Linked DNA regions of Ovis aries. The protein of the gene in region 2 interacts with the protein of the main gene of each other region in a pairwise test. Links are inferred from orthologs where the notes say so. Each region holds a gene or a part of one and is shown on either strand. Other genes may lie near its edges.

The links.
Region 1: the proteins of NUDT18 (region 2) and EVI5L interact in binary tests that used the Homo sapiens proteins (3 or more experiments, as listed by UniProt). The two-hybrid records come from large-scale screens. The link is inferred for Ovis aries from reciprocal best matches to the Homo sapiens genes NUDT18 and EVI5L.

The regions. Positions count from the first base shown.
Region 1 is NC_056058.1:14,341,925-14,345,524, reverse strand, and holds the start of EVI5L (EVI5-like protein), read right to left. Parts: upstream 2,177-3,600; 5' UTR 2,011-2,176; intron 1-2,010. UniProt on the Homo sapiens protein: Functions as a GTPase-activating protein (GAP) with a broad specificity.
Region 2 is NC_056055.1:43,495,984-43,506,861, forward strand, and holds NUDT18 (8-oxo-dGDP phosphatase NUDT18), read left to right. Parts: upstream 1-4,018; 5' UTR 4,019-4,143; coding exon 4,144-4,305; intron 4,306-5,222; coding exon 5,223-5,436; intron 5,437-5,805; coding exon 5,806-6,401; 3' UTR 6,402-6,814; downstream 6,815-10,878. Other genes in the region: FHIP2B (FHF complex subunit HOOK-interacting protein 2B), read right to left, coding at 10,133-10,271, 10,506-10,606, 10,824-10,878. UniProt on the Homo sapiens protein: Mediates the hydrolysis of oxidized nucleoside diphosphate derivatives. Hydrolyzes 8-oxo-7,8-dihydroguanine (8-oxo-Gua)-containing deoxyribo- and ribonucleoside diphosphates to the monophosphates. Hydrolyzes 8-oxo-dGDP and 8-oxo-GDP with the same efficiencies.

The sequences.
Region 1 (3,600 bases), on a different chromosome or scaffold from region 2:
CGCCCAGCTCCATCCCAGTCAGGCCAAGGTGGGGAAAAAAAAAATAAAAACCAAAACCAAGCCAATTCCTCACTCGTGTTCCACCCGAGCCTCTTCAGCACATTTTTCCCTTCTGAAAATATTCCTTAACAAAGAGCTGCCTGCTTCTGGCAGGCCCAAACCCAGCCCCACCGGGTCCCAAATGCCAGGGTGGGTGGAAGCTGTTTCATTTTCTCATGACACACTGGCCATGGGGGAAGGAGCTCCCGGGCCAGTCATGGGCGGCATCTGGGGAGCTGCTGCCATCTGAGGCCAGCAGGCGTGATGGGGTCAGGATGCTGGTCCTACCAGTCTGGTCAGACTTCAGGACTGGGGCCAGGGGCAGCCGGCACCCCCAGCCTATGCCACGGGTGGCATCAATCAGGGGGAAGGCACTGGGTCTTTGGGGGAGACTGGTGTAGGGGAGAGAAAGAGGGAGCATCCTTCCCTTTGAAGGGAGAGAGATGGATGAATGGGGAGAGATGGATGAATGGGAAGAGGTCTGGGACAGGTGTCCACAGGGATGCTGGGAGATTCTGGGTCACTCTGCCACCTGCAAGGCTACGGTGAGGGTACCGGTTCAGGCAGGCTGGTGTGGACGGAAAGGCTGGCCATCTGGGGCAGGGCAGGCAGTTGACATCGGAGTCTCTGCCTGAGCTGGGAGCTGGTGGCGGCTTCCAGGAGGACTTGGGCAGGTGAATTCCAAGGAGGAGTGCTAAAGTGCTGAGGAGTTGTGTGTGTGTGTGTGCATGCGCATGTGTGTATGGGAGGCAAGTGTGTGTGTGCGTGTGCATGCACATGTGTGCGCGCGTGGGAGACAAGTGTGTGTGTGTGCACACATGCATGCACGTGTGTGTGTATGGGAGGCAAGTGTGTGGTGTGTGTGTGTGTGTGTGTGTGTGTGTGTATGGGAGGCAAGTTGGGGGTTCCCAACTGCCTGGGTCTGTGTTGGAGGTCTTAAGTGTTTCTGTGTGTGCTGGGGATCCAAGAGTCAGACTCTGTGTGTGTGTGTTTGTGTGAAGGGCTCCTGAATGTCTGTGTATGAGGGGTCCAGGCCGTCTATCACACCCACCCTGGGCCCCTCATACTCATATCAGTATGAGCTGTTGAGGATTCATAGCTTTTGCTCTGTTAGCTCTCAGGTGTGTGTGTGTCTGTGCAAGTGAGTGGAGCCCTCAGAGGGGTGGGTGTCCCTGGTTGGGGGGTTCAGACTATCTGTTGGGCTGTTCCAAGCACAAAGTGAGGGTGGATTTTCAGGAGCAGGGATTGAGGGGAATCAGGTTCAGGGGTGTGTGTGTGGAGGATCCCAGGAGTGGTTTTCAGGGGTGCCCTTGGGCATGGGGCTTCTGGGAGTGGGAGATGGGCCAGCAGGCTGAGGTGAGGCTTGTGGGCAGGAATCCAGATTTACAGAGGCTGAGGAGGGGTCAGACTGGAGGGGTATGGCTCTAAGGCTGGTATCTTTGGGGGTGGGGGCAGGTCTGGGCCCAGGGATGGGATATGAAGTGAGAAGAGGGACGGCGTGACCAGGGGTCTACAGATGAAAGGAGTCTTGGGGGATCCGGAGAGAGGGAGGGCGGGGGTCCTGGGCTTGCGGCGGGGTAGGGGGCATTTGCAGGGGGCGGGTCTGTGGGGTGGTGACTGGGGGAGCCCTGAAGGGCCTGGAAAGGGGTCCTGAGGATCAGTAAAGAGGGTAAGCGGGGGTCACGGGCCTGAGGGGGGCTCCCGGGAAGGGCGCTGTGTGGGGGAGGAGGGCACCTGGAAGGGTCCTGGGAGGGGCCCAGAGGGGTCGGGAAGCTCCAGGAACGAGGATGTGCAGGGGCCAGGGCCCGAGGCTGACGGCCAGTGTCCGTGCTGGGAGTGCCGAGGGCTCCCGGGGCGGGTTCCGGGGCAAGGGGCCCGGAGTCCCGGTCTTGCCCGGCCCCCGTGGGCCGCAACGCGGAGCCGCGGGCCTGAGAAGGCGCCCGGGAGGCCCGGCCCGTGCCGCCTACCTACCTGTGAAGAGCGCGCCATCGCCATGTCAAGTCTCGCCGTCCCGGGCCGCGCCGCCGGATCCCCGCCGTGTCGCTCGCCCCGCAGCCCCGGCCCGGCCCGGCCCCCTCAGCCGCCCCCCGGGACCGCGGTCGCCGCCGGCTCCGCCGCTGCCATTTCACCCGCTGACAGGAGCCGCTGCCCCGCCCCCGAGGCCCAGTCAGCCAATTCACCGCCCCCAGCCGCTCTGGCTCCGCCCACTGTCAAGGAGTGATGGCGTGTTTGGCCAATCCTTGGTCATATCGTAAGGCGGGCCCTGGCTACGGCCAGAAGGTTGCCGCCTTTAAGGAGAGAAGCGAATTGAAGTTAGGGAAGCAGTGAAGGACGGATAGTTTTGCCTATCGAAATGTGGCGCCCTGTTGATCAACATTTGGCATGACCAATAGCGAGGAGAGAGGGGTGTGTCTCTGAGGAAAGACTGCGTCCCTGAGGAACCGCAGACAGAGGCAGGCGAGCGTTTGGCGCTAAGCCCCGCCCAGAGCCGGGCTTTTTGCCCAGTAATGAGACGTCCTGGGACGTCTATTATTATCTGTCCCTCAAACCTCGGCCATGGCAACTGTTGGGCCGCTATAAAGAAAATTGACATCTAGCGAGCCAATGACACTGAAGGAGGGCGGTGAAGTAACGCTTTCTGGCCAATGAGATTGCGATATTGTTGTGCAGTTGCCCTCCCGGGCGGTGGGACTTCGGGCGTGAATGAAATAGGGGAGGGGCTGAGAGGGGCGTGGCCTAGATCAGCCCTGGGACAGGGGCTGAGCAGGTAGAGGCTAAAGGGTTGGATCTGAGAAGGGGCGTTATCAGAAGTCCCTGCGGCTGAGGGACAGCATCTTCACACTGCCCTATTTGTGTTGGGGGCGGGGCTTTGGGGGATTGGGGTGTCACACCGGGGACTCAGGCCCTCCGCTAGTCTAGGCCAGGTTAAATATCTTCTCTTAAGTGTCTAATGTTCCTCCATCAAACTGTGAGCATGCCGTTATCACTGCTTACATGACTCCCACGCCCCCAACACCTCTTAGACCCACGGGGGCAGGGTGGGAGTGATGCAGGGCCTAGGTCAGGTTTCCTTCCGTGGTCCTCAGCATTGCTGAGTAGGGGCCTGGCACATAGGACTGCTTATAAAATGTTTGATAAATGAATGAATGGCGGGCCCAAGATGATTAACAGGGAAGGGAAGGGAAGGGTGGAAGGATCATTCAGGCTGGGGAGTTACTGATAGGGGGCAAGACTTAGCAAAAAGGACACGCTTACACCCCAAGATGCAGGGAAGGGTCCTGGAGGGGCTGGGGCAGGGAAGAAGGACCCTTTCACAGAAGATAGGGTGACATCGTCAGCTCAGAATGGAGCTGAAAATGGAAAGAGACAGAAATGGGAACGGGAAGCCTGGGACTCAAGATGGGCCATGTCAGGACCTACTGAGGTCTGAGATCTCAGTCTTCTAAATAGTAGGTAGGAGGTTCCTTCTGGTTTGGGGAGCAGTGAACGACATCAGGCCACACTCCCTGCCCCTGTCATTTGTCTCCGCCTCAGTCTACACTCTGTCTAATCTACATTTTG
Region 2 (10,878 bases):
CCCTGTCCTTTGGGCCTTTGTTTCTCCCAGCATCCTGTGGTCTACCTGCTCTAGTCCTGCTCACTGGCCCAGATTTCACAACCTCAGAGCCAGACGTGACATCAGAATGTACATATCCAACTCTGCCTTTCTCTTTTTTTCTTATCAAATACACTTTTTAGGCTTTTTTTCTGGGTGGGGGGCGCTGTACTCTGTGGCTTGTGGGATCTTAGTTCCCCAACAAGGACTGAAGCCAAGCCCTAGGCAGTGAAGGTGGTAAGTCTCTTTTTTTCTTTTAGACTTTTTATTTTGAAATGATTTGAGGTTTCCAGTTGAGTCGCAGAGATACTACAGGAAGTTCCCAGTTAGCCTTCATCTAGCTTCCTCGCATGGTAACATCGTAAATAACCATGGTGGTGGTACTAAATTGCTTCAGTCGTGTCCACCTCTTTGCAACCCTATGAATGGTAGCCCGCCAGGCTCCTCTCTAGGCATAATACTGGGGTGGGTTGCCATGTCCTCCTCCAGGGGATCTTCCCAACCCAGGGATCGAACCCTTGTCTCTTAACATCTCCTACATTGGCAGGTGGGTTCTTTACCACTAGCACCACCTGGGAAGCCCATGTAACCAGGGTACAGTGATCAAAATATAAGAAACTGGTACTGATACAACTCTATTAACTAAGCAACAGACTTTATTGGGCTTTCACCAGTTTTGTTTGAGGATCCACTCATTTTCCTTACAGGTGGCCTTGAGGGTAGATGTGGCTCCCTCGAGGTCACTCGGGAAGCTAGTGGTAGGGCACAGGTTGAAGTCTGGCCTCCTCCTCCCAGTGCCCTGGGCTGCTGCCCTCCTCACCCTTCCTGCTTTGTCCAGGGCCAGGGCTGCTGCTCCTTTAAAGAACTCTAACTTTATAGACACCCTTCCCCCACCTTGCTTGCCTGGCCCGATTCTGAGGTTGCCTACACTGTCTTTCTGCACACGTGCTCACATGCACATGCTTGTCCACAGGCCCTGAAATGGCTGGTCCAAGCCTGGCTCCTGTGGGCGCTGGAAGCATTGCACCGCAGGGCCAACCAGTTCAGCCACTTCTGTTCACTGGGCTGCATGTGGCCACCCACACAAGCCAGTGCTCTAGCCTCTGTGGGAATGGAGGACGCAGAGCACATTTGATGGAGCCCTACCTTGGTTTCAGGTTCTAGAGGTTTCTATCTCAGCACCTCTCCCTCCCTCAGCTTTTCCAGTTCTGCCTTAGGGTCTCTCCTGTCTCCTGTCTCCATCTGGTGTGTGCCCTCTGACACCTGGAGACAGTCACTTTCTGTTGTCCTTCTCAGCATCTCGGAAGGCCTGGTAAAGAACCCTCCTGCCGATGCAGGAGACATAAGAGAGGTGGGTTCTACCCCTGGGTCAGGAAGATCCCCTGCTGGAGGACATGGCAACACACACACATTCCCCATTCTTATCTGGGGAATCCCATGGACAGAGGAGCCTGGCAGGCTATAGTCCATGGAGTCGCAAAAAGAGTCAGACATGACTGAAGTGGCTTAGCATGGTACAGCACAACCCCCTCTAGGGCCTTCCACCCATGGGGCCCTTCACTGTTTACAGCTGGTTTTCAAGTTTCTCTCATGTGCTTCCCATCACCGGGGTGATTAGGTCCACTCAACTGGCGAGGAACGCTTTGCCCAGTGATAATGGGGAGAGTGGAGCCGCGGTTTGCCACAGTCTTTGCTCTTCCAGGCAGTTAGGCTGTCTGGTGTTTATCTTAGGCCGCCTCTGAGGCTTTCAGAGCCCTGCCCAGACATGATCTCACTCTCTCTCAAATCATCCCTGGGAGGCAGAAGGGAGTCTGGGATGAATGCTGTCCCCATTTCACAGATGTGAAAATAAAGGTCTAAACACACACAGACATGCGTGTGTGCCTGGCAAATATGTGAAAAAGTTGCTTTGCAGTCCTGGGAGCCTGATTTCAGCCCTGTTAATTCAGTTGTTTGGAACGTTTGAGGTCTTGGTTGGGGTGGGGGCGGCAGCGTTCACAAGTGCCTCACATGATTGCAGCTCCCCCAGGGATAACCCACAGCTTAATCCAGTGCCCTGCCTCCAGAGACCTTGCAGTCAGTTTAGTATTTGAGAAGGGCCTAAGGAGGCTTATCTGGCGTGGCTGGAATTCCCCAGACTAAGGTCTAGTTCATGGTGGCCCTTAGGCACATTTCATAAGTGAGCCTTTGGTAGCCACAAAGGCTGTGGCCAGGAGAGCCCAGGCTGGAGCCTTGCTGGGCTGCTTGGTGGTGGTGACCCATGCTGGACAGTCCAAAGAGTTCCTCTCATGATGGCTCACCTTCACAGTAGTCCTGGGAAGGAAGAGCTGTTAGCAACTTATTGTAGAAAAAAACAGAGACATCACTTTGCCAACAAAGGTCCATATTGTCAAATCTATGGTTTTTCCAGTAGTCATGTATGGATGTGTTAGACCATAAAAAAAACTGAATGCCAAAGAACTGATGCTTTCAAATTGTGGTGTTGGAGGACTTCTGAAAGTCCCTTGGACAGCAAGAAGATGAAACCAGTCAATCTTAAAGGAAATCAACCCTGAACATTTATTGGAAGGACTGATGCTGAAGCTGAAACTCCAATACTTTGGCCACCTAATGTGAAGAGACAACTCACTGGAAAAGACCCTGATTCTAGGAAAGATTGAGGGCAGGAGGAGGGGACGACAGGATGAGATGGCTGGATGGCATCACCAACTCAATGGACATGAGTTTGAGCAAACTCTGGGAGATGGTAAAGGACAGGGAAGCCTAGCGTGCTGTAGTCCGTGTCTCACAAAGAGTTGGACATGACTTAGCAACTGAATGACAAGAAAGACAAGGAAACAGGCCCACAAAACAGACCCACAAACAAGTCCCTGACGCTATTAGGGCACAGGATCAACCAGGGAGCAATGGCTGGGCATCCAACTCCAAGTCCAATGCTTAGCTCCACCAAGCTACTGTCCCCCCAAAAAGGGGCATGACCAAAGCCAGGAGGAGGGAAAAGGGAGCCCTCACTGGGACTGAGCTCCTCAGTCCTGAGAAGAGGTTAAAGGAAGAAGGAAAGGTCAGGCTGGGGGAGAAGAAGGAGCTCCTGAAATCAACCCACACCTTGCTCTCAACAGACCAGAACCCCACCAACGCAGCGGTGGTGGAGCGTGGGGCAGGGGGCGAAAGGGGGGCGGAGGGGAGGCGGGGGGGCTGGGGGGGCGGGGGCGGTAATAACAAAGTTGAAGGAGCAGTACCCATCCCCTGAAGGGGAGAGGGCCCGGACCCTGCTTAGGAAATGCGCTGGACTGGAGGCCGGGACAAGGTTGATGACGGCTACGCGCACTGACGTCTGCTCCAAGTTCTGCCTCCCATGGCCAGGCACAGCTCGACCATCCCAGCTCTGCAATCTCCCTCCTCTGAGCGCCTGCAGCATCTCATGCCCAAATCAATTTTTTGAACCAATCCTGTAGCACTCGCCTTATAAGTCAGCTGGCTTTCCATTATTTGTCTACGTCCACCTTTCCAACTAGATCAGAATCTTCTCCAAGGCAGGAGCTCTTGTCCTCCCTGCCACGTGACAGCCAGTACTTTCTCAGTAGAGAAATAAGGTTATTTGGGAAGTGTCATTCAGGGCAATGCCGTGGTTTGTTTACAAGTGCTGGACACTGGGTCCACGCCGCGGGCCCGGTGACGTCTTCGGGTTTGTGATGTCACCGTCGCTGGCTGCTGCGCCGCTCCGCAGCCTGCGGGCAGGTGACGTCACCGTCGGAACCCGTGCAGACAAGTGCACGCCGGAGGAATTAGCGAGGCTGGCGGCCTGAGATGCCGGGAAAGAGGAGGAACCGATGCAACGGCAGATGCAGTGTGGCGTCCGCACCACCGGGGCTGGGCGCCTAGCCCCTTTATGGACTGGCTCCGCCCCCGCCGTGACCTTTGCGCGCCAGCCAATCCGAGCCGGCCGCGGTGACGCGCAGCCTATCAGCGTCCACAACACGCCGGGCGCTTCCGTGTTCGCGAGCGCACCCGACCCGAGTCCTCAGGGGGAGGGGGCGAGGCCGACGGGCCCCACCGTCACCCACGTACAACCCACCAGGCTCGGCCGATCTGCGGTTCCCGGCCCGCCGCCTCTCGGGGGACCTTATGGCTTCGGAAGGCCTGAGAGGGGCGCTGACGGCCGTGCTGGGGGGCCGGGGGCTGCTCGTGCAGAACTATGATTCGGGGCCGGCTGGGGAGCCGCCGGCGCCGGTGCGGCTGCGGAAGAATGTCTGCTACGTGGTGCTGGCCGTGTTCCTCAACGAGCAGGTGAGCGTCCGCCCGTCGGGCCCACCGCCCAGGTCTCTGGGGCTCGCAGCCAGCCCCGGTAGGGAACAAAGGACGTACCGGCAACAGCCACAGCTTCCTGGTGTGTGGCTCTTCCCAGTTTTGCAAAGCACTTTCACACTTAACATCTGAGCCTTGAGCAGCGCAGCCCTGCGATCCTCCCAACGTACAAGGGAGGAAACTGAGGTTCACGAGCCTGTTTAATCCCACCAGGCCTCAGTTCCTTGAGAGGAGGCTGTCTTACTCCTCTTCCATTTTCCCCAGAAGCTAGCGCGGTGCCCGCCATGGAGTGGGCTTAAAAACCTGTCCAGTGCTTCAGAGGCTTCCCCTCGGCCCCATGGGCAGTAAGTGGACAATTTTTCCTTACACCCAGGCCTCTGACCCCCTGTTTGATGCTCCGATTGGTGTTGATCCCTGTACATGGTGCGGTAACAACAGCTAGAACGGGTCAGAGCCATAGGTAGGAGTTGTTTGGCGTGAGGGTTTGGGGTGTGTTTCAAAGCCTAAGCAGGCCACACAGAGTTTGTAAACCGTGAGGGGAGGTGAGAGATATACTGTGACTTGTGCAGATGCTAATCAGTGCAGGACGCTGGGCAACCAATCCCTGGAGGCCTAATCTCCAGCCCCTGAAGTAGCTACCAGAATTCTTAACCCCTTTCTGAAATGGAAACCTGAATGCAGGGAAAGATGAACTGCAGAGACCGCTGCAGTCCCCATACCCAGGGCCAGTCCCCTGGAGAACTCAGCAATTTCAGGGTGGCCCCTGGGATGTGGGTACTGAGCGACTATATCTGAGATTGGAGCTGGACCCAGAGCAAGTGAAGGCTGCTGGCTCTGCTGCCCCCCCTGGAGCTCCCATCCCAGCTGTGGTGGGCGAGGACCCTCTCTCTCCCCCTCAGGATGAGGTGCTACTGGTCCAGGAGGCCAAGAAGGAGTGCCGTGGGTCGTGGTACCTTCCTGCGGGGCGGATGGAGCCTGGGGAGACCATTGTGGAGGCGCTGCAGCGGGAGGTGAAGGAGGAGGCCGGGCTGCAGTGTGAGCCTCTGACGTTGCTGTCTGTGGAGGAGCGGGGCCCCTCCTGGATCCGCTTCGCATTCCTCACCCGCCCCACAGGTATGGCCCAGCAGGTGGGCAGCGTGGGCTGAGGGCAGTAGATACCAGTCCCCTGGCTTGTCCTCAGGTGAGATGAGCCCCTAGTCTGGCTAGGATAACCCTGGCATCTCCAGATTCCAGACTGAACACCTGATCCTGGGCCTCCCCCCTGGGTCACAGCTGGAACCCTGGGTGGCCCTTTATTCTACCAGGCCCAGCACTTCATTCAACATAGACCTTTTCTCCCTCCCTGTGCCCTGGAGAAGGAAATGGCAACCCACTCCAGTATTCTTGTTTGGGAAATCCCATGGACAGAGGAGCCTGGTGGGCTACAGTCTGTGGGGTTGCAGAGTTGGACACAACTGAGCACATCCCCTGCATCTCCACCAGGTGGAATTCTCAAGACTCCCAAGGAAGCAGATGCAGAGTCCCTACAGGCTGGCTGGTACCCACGAACCTCACTGCCTACCCCACTGCGGGCCCAGGACATTCTTCATCTGGTCAACCTTGCTGCCCAGTATCGCCAGCGAGCCAGGCACCCTCTCCTCCTTCCCCAAGAGCTTCCCTGCAGTCTGGTCTGCCAGCGACTTGTGGCCACCTTCACCAGCTTCCAGACAGTGTGGGTGTTGGTGGGCACAGTGGGGACGCCTCACTTGCCTGTCACCGCCTGTGGCTTCGCTCCCATGGAGCAGAGGGGTGGCATCAAGATGGCCGTCCTGCGGCTGCTACAGGAGTGTCTGACCCTGCACCACTTGGCAGTAGAGACCAAGGGGTTGCTTGGACTGCAACACCTGGGCAAAGACCTAACGGATGGCATCTGCATGAACGTGCTGGTCACCGTGGCTTTTCGGAATCCGGGTCTCCAAAACGAGCCCCCAAAGGTTCGGGGTGAGAACTTCTTTTGGTGGAAGGTGGTGGAGGAAGACCTGCAAAACCAGCTTTTACAGCGGCTTCGGGACTCATCTGTCGTCCCAATCAACAGATAGGAGGTGGGCGTCAGTGGGCCGGAGCAAGGCATTCGTGCTTTGGAGGAAGTTTTTGCTTTGGAGCGGGGCAGGGGTGTGGCAGTCAGAGATCTTCTTGCATGAGGACCTGAGCAGTTCTCCTGGCTCCCAGGGGGACTGCCCTCTCTTGTCACCACGGAGCAGGTCCCTGCACAGCACCCAAAGGGACAATGCCTTCAGCTGAACAAGGAGTCCAGAGCTCGGGGACCCAGTTGCCCTGAAATTCCAATGAGGGCAGGACTCCCTAAGGGGACGTGAGGACCTTCGGGACCTGAGGTGGCATCTCCTCATTTTCTGTGCCCTTGCCAGATGCTAGGCACTTGGAACATGGAATGGGTGTGGGGGAGGTCATTCCAAGGGAGAGGGTCCCTGGCTGAGTAAATAAGTGTTACTGACTTTGCATTCCCACCTATATGTTTCTGTGGGTCGGACTTGAGCTGGAAGGGGGAACTGCTATCAAGAGAAGCTCCTCCCCTCATCCCATGGAAACCACACAGGCCTTCCCAGACAGCAGGTGACCGGCTGGCAGACTCCCTTTGTCCACCACAGCTTGACGCAGGCCTGCCGGGTGGGATGTGGGCACACACCCTCCAAGGTCTGAGCAGTGAGATGCCCAGAAGCTTCAGGTGGGCGAGGAGCTGTGAGAGCTGCCCGTCTCTTTTCTCCTGAGTTTCTCTGAGGGATCAGCGTCGCTCCGCCCCCAGGCTCATTCCTGCCTCTGCCCTGGTACAACTCCAGCCCAAAGCCAGACCAAAACCCTCTCTTCATTCCCCTTAGCTCAGCTGAATCATGGTAGAAATTATTATTTTTTTTTTAAAGAACTTTACTGAAGTTTAAGGGAAAACCAAAGGAAATGAAGAAATATGTACTGACTGCTATACACGCATCACTGGATGTACAGTTTTGGTTCTGAGCAGGGAAAATACTTGGCTGGGTTTCCCTCCTGAAGTAACTCCACTCTGACGCCCAAGGACCAGGACAACCTCAGAGGCCCCTGCCCTGCCTCTCTGGCTGCCATCTTGTTTTTCTGACCTCTGGAGCTGTGCTAGGAACCCACTTGTTCCCTCTAAAGACTTCTTCCAAATGAAGGAATCAAACCCTTTTATTCTGGATCCCTTCTCTTAGTGTCTGAGGGACCCACTGGTCTGTAAGCACACTGGACAGTGACCTTTACTTCCAGTATTTAGCCTATTATTAATAGTTTTCAACCCTTCCCTGGTGGCTCAGACAGTAGAGTCCACTTGCAATGCAGGAAACCTGGATTTGATCCCTGGGTCGGGAAGAGCTCTTGGAGAAGGGAATGGCAACCCACTCCAGTATTCTTGCCTGGAGAATCCCATGGACAGAGGAGCCTGGTGGGCTACAGTCCATCGGGTCAGAAAGAGTCGGACACGATTGAGCACCTAACTCTAGCACTTTCAACCCCAGGTACCCCCTAGAATCACCTGGAGAGCCTTAAAAGAGCAATTGTGGGTGTGCCCTTAGAGATCTGATTAACTGATGGAGGGTGGGACCAGGGCATCGGTATTTTTAAAAGCAGCCCAAGTGACTGGAACATGCCAGGAGGTGAAAGCCACTGATCAGCCCTCCCTCTTGCCTTGCCTGGAGGACTCTTGGTGACCTTCCTCCCCAGAGCATCTCCACGCACTCAGGGACTAGATTTTTTTAAATATGAGGCCCAGGACTTCCCTGGCATCCACACGCAATGCAGGGGGCACAGGTTTCATCCCTGGCCAGGGAACTAGATCCCACACACTGCACAGTGCTGCAAAAAATAAAAATCAGGCCCACTGTTCACCACTAAAGCAGTCATACCTTTCACAACACAAACCCTGCAAAGGAGACTTGTGCACGGATGCCCCAGGTGGCCCATTCCCTAGAGTGTCTCTGGAGCTGCCGGCTCTCAGCTGTAGGCAGGCCGAGCAGAAATAGAGCTCCCTGCCCAAGAGAGGCCGGTTTCCCGGTTCCTGGCAGGCGCTGGGGGAACATCACATTTGCGCTGCCAGAGCCTGCCCGTTTACCACCCGCCCCCACCACACAGACACTGCCCTCCCTCTGCTCCTGTGCTGGGAGAGGAACTGAATTCGTCTTCCTTAGGGAGGAAGATGTGCCTGAATGAGCAGTGGAGCCCTGGGCAAAAGGACACGGGGAGGACAGAGAAAAATGGGGCAGCCATGACCACGCAACCACACCATTTATTGCCATGCTGTCTGGGGAGACACTGTGCGAATGTTCAAGTGCATTGAGGAGGGGAGGGTCTGACTCCCGGACGCTTGAACGTTCTTTCTGAGTCGAAGAGTCCAGACCCAGTTCACCGCCTCGTTCCATGCTAACGCCCATGCGTGGGCACACGCAGGGACTTGCACGGTGTCCTCGGGAACAGCAGGTAAATCCTCCCCAGCTTGGAGGAACGCAGGAGAGGTAGAGGTCACTGAGTTTCCTCTGCTTTCATGTCACCTCCTGGCAACCTGTGGCCGGCTTCTAGAAGCGGCATGGGCAGGAAAAGGAAGCGAAAGGGGCTCTGGCCTGCTCCTCCTTGCCCAGGAGTTAAGCCAGCAACTGCAGTTTGCTGTGAGGTAATGCCTGGCGCCGCCTGTGTGTTCCTGCAGGTCGAGACAGATTTGGGCCGGGTGGGGTGGCAGCCCCAGCCGCAGAGGGCACGCTGGGAGAACGGCACCGCAAAGGACTGCCTGTGCCCCAGCCCCACCCTGCCAGGCCTTGGGGTCGAGAGGGGGTGGGGGAGGGACGAGGGGGCAGGCTGCGGGCCAGTGGGCACCCTGGCCTCACCTGGACCCGGACCTTCCGGCTCTGCTGGGAACAGTATTCTGTGGAGGACCCCAGCCGAATGCTTGGGGTGAGGCCTGGCCTCCCCGGGTCTCTGAGCCCCTCTGCCCAGGTGCTGTGGACCTGCCGAGACGGGTTCAGAAGGCGCCAGCGAGAAACCAGCTGGAGCTGGAGCCTGGCATCCAGCCCCCCGGCTTCCCAGGCCCTCTCCTGCCCTGGCTGCAGTTACTTCAAGCTTCTCATTAGCAGCTGCCCCCGCCTGGCTGTGGAACATGCTTTGGGCATTTGCCACGAGGCTGTTGGAATTTTGCAACAGTCTCTAGGAGGGTGAGCTGGAAGAGGGGCTCCCCCTGCCATCCATGGCCCCTTCCCCAAGTGTTAAACCGAGAAGGCAGGAGAAAAAACATCAAGTGTCAGCAGTATCTGTGGTACCTAGTGGGACAGAGATAGGGCCGTGCCCCCATCTCTCTGGCCTAGGGGCATGACCAGCCTCAGAGCCACTGACTTACTCCCCATTGTGCCCCTATAATTGAGTCTCAGGTCTTGGCTCTGGCCATAGAAGACCCATGGACACAGGTGACAGGCACAGAGCAAAGGAGGCTCTGGCTCGGGGGGACCTGGCTGTCACCCAACTCCCCAGAGAGGGCCCCAAGGACACCATGCTGCCCAGGAAGCCACCGCCTTGGCTCCTTGGTTCCTGGTACCTCAGAGACCCACTCCTTGAAATCCAGTCTGGTGCAGCCAACGGGCCAAGGTGGTCTTGAGTCAACCCAAGAGTGGAAGGCCAGACCTCCACACAGGTGGAAGTCCCTGGGATATAGAGGAGATGGAGCCAAGGCCAGGCCCCCGCTCCAGGACAGTGGCAGCACCACCGCCAGGCAGGGGGCAGCTCTTGGGCAGAGGCGTGAACGGGAGTCTCCCCTCCTGACTCAGACATGCCCTTCTCGGGGTTTGGAGAGGTGCAGGTGAGGACTGTGTGGGGGGAACTTGACGAAAGCAATGGCAGCCAGCTCCTTGCAGAATTCCTCCAGGACGACCACGCCCTGGAGGAAGGTCTGGTGGTCCAGCCTGAGGGAGATAGCACAGGGGTCACAGCTGGGAAGTGTGAGGAGTGTGCCCAGTGGGACATCCCAGTATCTGAGGGACTACCCAGGGACAGCCACCTCTGAGGGTCTATGAGGAACCACAGGCCTCAGCAATGAGCCCTCCTCTGCCCCTGGCCTGGTGCCTCCCCCACCTGGAAGCCCTCGCCATGTCAACCCAGGGCTCTTCCTTGGGCACCCGCTTCCCTTGGGTACTTACTGCTCCCCAGGGACTTGGCCCATCAGCTGCCTGCGCACCAGGAGCAGTTTGCCTGGGAACTGGGGAACCCTCTGAATTCTCTGCATCAAGTCCCCGATCACCTGGAGTGGGAACAAGAGGGGACTGATGAGACCAGAGACCCTGCCATGGGGTCCCTGGCCTGGTCATACCATGGGAGGGTGGGTGGTACCTAGGTTATCCCTTGGCGCTGGCAAGGGTGCCCACACCTGCAGCCCCCAGCCCGCCCCCGTCCCATTGCCCTCCCTTCCTGCCCCCAGCACTGGCATGCTTCCTCTGGCCCGGCCTGGGCGCCCTTACCCTGACAAGCACAGAGAACAGGCTTCGGCAGCCAGGGGCCAAGTTGGTGTAGGGA